2 linked regions of the Bombyx mori genome follow. Each later gene encodes a partner of the first gene's protein in a complex. Links are inferred from orthologs where the notes say so. Each region holds a gene or a part of one and is shown on either strand. Other genes may lie near its edges.

Region 1 (4,200 bases):
TTCTGATAATGGTATCCATAAGAAAACCATATAAGTCTTAAATTTGCCTTATGTACGTGCGCGACAAATAGATGAATAACTCAATATCACGCCAACCCATTTCGATGATTATTGTTTTTAGTGTGTATAATACATACCTAATTTGTTTTGGAATATTATTTTTTTCTATTTGTAGTCGGTTTTTGTTAAAGTATGTCTATTTACAATTATTTTTAACAATCTTTTATTAGCTTGGCATTGTATGTAACAGATTCTTTGAATGAAATCCCACTTTATAAATGTCGGATTGACTTGAAACTTCGCACACCTATCAACGACCATAGACCTATATAGTCTCAACAACCGATAACAATGAAATAATTTAATAAAATTGTCCGATTAGTAACTTGATTGAGATTTTTAGGCTTAAAGACTGTACGGACGGTTAAAACACGGTAGTGTCTTGTGCCAAGTACAGAGGCGCGTACGCGGCTGCTGCTTCTCTTGGATTTATGATAGCCGTTTCTCAGGTTCCTTCTCTGGAACCGATCGGATTATGAAATAATCATAGATCGACCTAATAACCTGTTTTCACATATGGTGCACTAAAACGGCGATTGTTCCTTGCTATGAAATGACCATAGTTAAAGACAAAAAAAAATCGTGAGGTGGTTTTTAGATTTAAGATTTTATAGTGACCACTATCAGTACTACCAATATTTCATTAAAATAACATATTTACAATAATTGACGTCTACTATCCCACGCATTTTTTCGTTAAAATGCTTTTTCCTAGTCACTTTTTAAAAAAATGATTTGCTACTATACAGTTTTTAATCTATTATTTTTATGCGTGGTAATAATAAGATCTGTAGTTAGCTCATCCTTTTTGGCTCCTTAGTGGCGAAAACATATATGTATACATACATGTACTTATGTATGTCATGTTTGTCATGTTTGTCATGTCGGAGTTCTTGGACCTGAATCCGCATAACAGAATCTAATTAAACGCATTTGTATTGTACGATTATTCCTTTCATTATCTTTTTTGAATTAATCAAAAATTATATTTTTTACAGCATGTACATAACCTTCCAAGACGAACCTACCGGCAACGTTGGATTTAAAGGAACGACTTTCCACGCGATCTTTGGATAAACATTATAAAAAACAATATCCAAACCATAGGATAAATAGCGAGAAATGATGTGCTTCCATAATAATCTATAAAATGCTTAAAATCATATTAAAATTGTCTTTAGAGTATTCTTATTGATGTTTGAAATAGTTATTGTATGTATCCTTGGCCTTAGATTAGTCTGTGACTAACCGAAGCCGTTTTTTTTTCGGGCCTGGCCGAACCTCCTACGAGGTGCCCGCGCCTAGGAGGCGCGCGGGGTATGTGAGACTTGACGACCTGCAAGGTGTTGGGAGCAGACCGCGGGCCCAAGGAATTTTAGGGCCCTACCGCACTAAACGACTCTATTTTTTATTTTATTTTTATTGCTTAGATCGGTGGACGAGCTCACAGCCCACCTGATGTTAAGTGGTTACTGGAGCCCATAGACATCTACAACGTAAATGCGCCACCCACCTTGAGATAAAAGTTCTAAGGTCTCAAGTATAGTTACAACGGCTGCACCACCCTTCAAACCGAAACGCATTACTGCTTCACGGGAGAAATAGGCAAGGTGGTGGTACCCACCCGCGCGGACTCACAATAGGTCCTACCACCATAAAAAGTAGATTACCTATTATGATTTTAATTGTGTAAACTATTATTACACCCTAAGATACACATGTTATGAATGGGTGTGTATTATAGTTACGCGTTTACCATAATTACGTATACTATGTATGCATCATATCGTATCATCCCTTTGAGAAGGCGGTACGACAAGAAAACCCTCTTGTTGTGGCCGCCGGAAATTACATACCCGGCCCTGTGGACCGAATGGTAAACGGTCGACGTCGCCGCGTCGCCCTAAACACGTCATTACGGATCCTCCCGATCCATTATCGGTGCTTTTAGGCATTCCAAGGACCATTCACCGTTCGACGTGCAACATAACTAACGTATGTCCACAACCGACTGATTTTCGCACTGGATCTTAGACGGTCGCGATTCCGATCAGATGTTAGCTTCAGAAAGGCACTGTTCTTTTTAGCGCAGTGTGTTTAGTGCGAGTTTTTTAACTTCTCTATCACGTAAAAGTTAACTCAAATTTGTACGAATTGGAACAGCGCCCCTAGCGGCAAACCAAGGGAAACTGTTCTAACTCCAGAACTTAAAAAAACTCGCATTGAGCACACAGATGTTATAAAAGTCTCTGAAGCCTACACACCCGGCGAAACTAAAAAAGCCCTAAACTAAAAAACTAAAAACTAAAAAAGCCAAGACTACGGGTAATTAGTTATTCCAAAAAACTAGAGTAAAATTTTAAGTCAACTTTAATAGAGCTGACGAATAAAAATATTATTCCTATGTAGATGGAAGAAAGTAGTGATGCGTCAAAATTCTATATTAAATCTTAATTTAATTTTGTAAATGTATTTCTCAATGTAAAGCAAAGCAGTCTTTTTTGCATTTTCTTTAAAAGTTTGCTACGGTAACGCTATATTATATTTCACGGACACTCATAGCCACAGAGTTCAACTTCCACTGTATTCTTTTTAACTTTAGTGATAAGATGGATCATAAATAAAAATAATCGGAAACCTGTATTTTTGGAACAAAACAGTGGAATATGAACAATTGTGACCGCCAACTCACATTTATTAAGTGTAGTAGGGTATCTTATTAAGTCCAAATCGATAGATACTAACCATCATGCTTAATTCGGTTGCAAAGCAGTCGTAGAATACTGCTTCGAGACGGGCACTACACCATTCAAACTGACCTCATGTTTCAAGCTGAATAGTGGCACTTACATTGGTTTTTGTTTAAGCTGGCAACTTTATTCTAGGTGGGCCCTGAGATAGTTCACCAACTAAACCGTATTATCTTCTTTTTTTATGATTGAGGGTTTACTAGTGGCCCGGAGGCCTTTCCAGTTTCACAAGGACAGGTGGGCGAGCCAGAAGAGGCGGGATTTGCTAACAGCTACCCGAGCGCCTTCAAGGGAGACCTAGCAACTCAACAGTAGCTGCTTCGCGAATGAATCTACTACCGGATCGGAATCGCGACCCGCTGAGAAGATCCGGCGAGATACTCAACGGGCTGATGCTTATGTTAGATTGCACGGTTACCGGGGTCTCTACTCCTAGTGTTAGAGCGAAAGGCGTCTTATGCGAGGGTTATTGCGAGGTATCTAATGGATCCTTACAAGGACTACACAGAGTCACCTGGTTCCGAAAGGACATTTTACTCCGCTTACAGATCATGGGGTAGAGTCTGCCGAGAATAAACGCGGCACGGTCGTGGACTGCTTTTATATGTGGATGGAATCTCGTGGATAACCGTATTATATATGAACTAAGAATTAAAAAAGAGGAGCCCAAGGAACTCAAGCTCAAGTAAATCTTATTAGGGCATATCATTATTGGCATAAATTTTATGAGGCCTCATGCAACATGTACATACGTACAGAGTGAAGTTGTGTGAATTGTTTTAATTTGTCTATTTAGTGTTTCTTCAGGCTTAAATGTGTAATAACGATGTGTAAAAACGATATTAACTGTTTAGTATCTGTGCAAGTGTACAAATGTGGGAAAATTAGACAAAACTGCTGGACATAGCTTCTCGGGATCCTCCAAAAAGTCCACTGAAAAGTCTCAGTAAATAAGCACCATTTTACTAAGATTATATTTCATCCCATATCATACTGTCTCATTTCATTTAATTTCATCCCAGTTGATTAATGTCTCAAATTAATCATCTTCATTTCATTTCATTTCACTCCATATTATCATTTTTCATAAAAATATAAATAAAATAAGACAGAACTTAAAGGTCTTAGTTACCAGGTCATAAAATATTTAAAAAAAAGCTAGTTCGTACTTAATTACATATGTGCGGCTGTCATAGATTTTATAAATGCATTTATAGTGATAATTTTGATATAAACTCAACAAAAACAACTGCTCAGGAAGCTGTAGTTGTATTTTCTGCAGTTTTTCTACTGTTTGAATACTACTATTACTTGAATTCGTAATTTGTAATCATATTCTAGATTAAGAGCAACACAACTAAAACAAATTGATTTCATAAAAATCAATTCA
Region 2 (3,102 bases), on another chromosome or scaffold:
AAAAGTTTACTACAAAAAAGGTAAAAATGCAACGTAGGCCGCGAAAAAAAATTGCGATGTTTATGGACCTAGTGCTGTGTCTGTGAAAGTAGCACAAAATTGGTTTAAGCGTTTTCAATACGAAATTTTTATTTTAAGAATTTGTACGTCGCTCTAATCGAATCTTTTTGAAAAAGTGAAAGTGACTGATCGCATCTTTTTGAAAAAGTAAAGCAAGATCGGCATATCAGTAGTTACGACGTAGCTGAAGAACTGGGAATTGACTACAAAACAGCTTTGGCTCATTTGAAAAAAAATAGATACACAAAAAAGTTCGATATTTGGGTACCTCACGAGCTCACTGAAAGAAACCTAATGAACCGTGTACTCATTTGTGATTCTTTATTACGACGTAATGAAACCGAACCATGTTTGAAGAAGCTGATAACTGGTGATGAAAAGTGGATCACGCACGACAAGAACGTACGAAAAAAGTCGTGGTCAAAGGTCCGTCAGGCTTCACAGACTGTGGCAAAACCTGGGTTAACTTGCAACAAGGTGATGCTGTTTGTGTAGTGGAATTGGAAGGACATTATTCATTATGAGCTGTTACCACCAGGCAAGACCATTGATTCTGAACTCTACTGCGAACAACTGATGAGATTAAAGGAAGAAGTTGAGAGAAAGTGGCCAGAATTAATCAACAGAAGGAGTGTGGCTTTTCATCATGATAACAATGTGACCTTACACATCTTTAGCCATTCAGCAAAAATTAAGAGAGCTTGACTGGAAGATGTTAATGCATCCGCTGTTTATCCGTATATCCGTCCTGACCTTGCACCTTCAGGTTTCCACCTGTTTCGGTTCTTCAGAATTCTTTAGGCAGTGTCAGATTAACATCACGAGAGGACTGCCAAAACCAATTGTCTCGGTATTTTGATCAGAAGCCCCAAATTTTTTATAGCAATGGGATCATGTCCCTATTTACAAAATGGCAAAAAGCTATCGAACAAAATGATACCTACATACTTAAGTTAAATGTAAATAAACTATTAAAAAAATTTGTTAATTTTCTTAAAAAATGCGAAGAAACTTTTTCCCCAACCTATTATATTAATTTTCATGTAACTGAATATATAAAAGATTAGGCTGTATAATATATATATGCTTTCGCCTTTCTTGTTAGAAAATGGAAATACTACAACTAATCATTTGTCAGTTTTGTCACTGCTAGTTGTCAATTAGAAACATTTCGTTTGTGTTGTTAAGGATGATTTTCTCGTGTTATTTTTTTAATAGATCTAATTGATTACTCTTCCCTCTGGGTACACGTTTAATATAAAACAAACAAGTGGAGTGTGTAAGAAAATCATAACTTGTAATTGTTGTGAAATAAATACTATAAAATTTAAACATGAGTATGCGCCCCGATGACCACCGAAGAAAATGGGACAAAGAGGAATTCGAGAAAATTGCAGCCGAGCGTTTGAAAGCAGAGCTAGAAGAAGAAGAAAAATCCAAGAAGAAAGGTAAAATATTTGTGTCAACACACTTTGTTACGTTAAAATACAAATTTGACACAATATATAAATGTTTGTTTAATTTTCATTTTCCAGCCACTCCAGTCAAACGTGAACTTCTCAAACAACGTGAATATAAAGTAGATTTGGACTCGAGACTCGGGAAGAGTGTAGTAATCAATAAGAATACGCCAACGTCCCAATCTGGAGGATATTATTGTAATGTTTGTGACTGTGTTGTTAAAGATTCAATAAATTTCCTTGATCACATCAATGGTAAAAAACATCAGAGGAATCTGGGAATGTCCATGAAAATAGAAAGGAGCAGCTTAGATCAGGTGAGCTTACTTTTTCACATGTATGTATATGCATAGTACCAAGCAGGTAAATAGGATTGTTGACTTGCTACTAGATTTATGGTCTGAGATCATCAATTGGCCACTGTTGCATCAAAATAATAACAAACATCATGAACCAACGCTATTATTTTTGTGATTGCCTGAGTTGAGCAAACCTACCATCCCACTCAACTAGAGCACTCAATATTAAAATAATTCTCAACAAATTCTTTCAATCTTAATTTTATCAAGTTCTAATGCTATTGTTAAGGAATAATAAATGTAAAATGTTCAACCAAATAGATGATTTAAATTTCTAGACCACTAATTTGAAATAATCTATCTAACTCATCTAGCTGTTCTCAATTTTATAAATACCATTCAGGTTTTAATAATATTTATTCTATTCTATCATAGCTACTACTACTACATTATATTTGTTTGGTTCCAGGTAAAAGCAAGATTTGCACTCAATAAACGAAAGTTGGAAGAGAAAAAGCGTGAATATGAATTAGACACAAGATTAAAGGAAGCCGCTGAAGAAGAAGCTCGTGTGAAAGAGCTACGTAGGGAGAGACGTCGGGACAAGAAACGGAAGTTAATGGAGAATGATGAAATAGATGATACACCAGCACCTTCTGAATTAGCACAAATTATGGGGTTTTCTGGCTTTGGAGGATCTAAAAAATGATATGTTTTAAAATGTAAAGCTTATATTAATAAATACTGTGTGGTACAATAATGTTTCATTGAATGTTTTAATTATTATTTGGCTAATAATTCTATTTGCCCTGACCTTGTTTTATCAAGGTATAATTATGAACTTTGATTTAGCAGACAGGATAATATTACCATATTTATTTGGAAAAGGCTAGAAAAAACGACACCATGTAAATGTAACATGTTCCAAATGCTTTTTCCAATTAAAAAATATAAATTATAAGGCTACAATGTCCACTACCGGACTTGGTATGAGGGCATGTTTTTCATGTGCTAGATGAAAGCTTTTCACTGACTCCAGTAGTCCTGTATATGTCAAAACTCACATCAACTTTAGTTTTTGGGATTTGGGATTTTGGGATATGTAAATCGCACGTGACTACTTTGACTGACTGACTTTTCGAGGACAATAAACAATTCAACAACAAAATCAGTTGGCTGGGCGTTAAAAGAGCGCTCATCTCTCTACTCTAAGTCGTTTCTGTTGAGTCTGGGCTAAGATAACGATCTCGCCCAAATCTATAAATTAAAATAAGACATGACTT

Evidence for each region. The genes of interacting proteins can lie anywhere in the genome.
Region 2: protein Red (region 1) and zinc finger matrin-type protein 2 share a complex: the UniProt entries of both Homo sapiens proteins name them as parts of the spliceosome B complex. The link is inferred for Bombyx mori from reciprocal best matches to the Homo sapiens genes IK and ZMAT2.

What each region holds. Positions count from the first base shown.
Region 1 is NC_085122.1:6,714,048-6,718,247, forward strand, and holds the start of protein Red, read left to right. Parts: upstream 1-1,400; 5' UTR 1,401-4,200. Other genes in the region: Mif (macrophage migration inhibitory factor), read left to right, coding at 1,059-1,137. UniProt on the Homo sapiens protein: Involved in pre-mRNA splicing as a component of the spliceosome. Auxiliary spliceosomal protein that regulates selection of alternative splice sites in a small set of target pre-mRNA species. Required for normal mitotic cell cycle progression.
Region 2 is NC_085128.1:9,738,011-9,741,112, reverse strand, and holds zinc finger matrin-type protein 2, read left to right. Parts: upstream 1-1,190; 5' UTR 1,191-1,393; coding exon 1,394-1,508; intron 1,509-1,595; coding exon 1,596-1,837; intron 1,838-2,288; coding exon 2,289-2,528; 3' UTR 2,529-2,579; downstream 2,580-3,102. UniProt on the Homo sapiens protein: Involved in pre-mRNA splicing as a component of the spliceosome.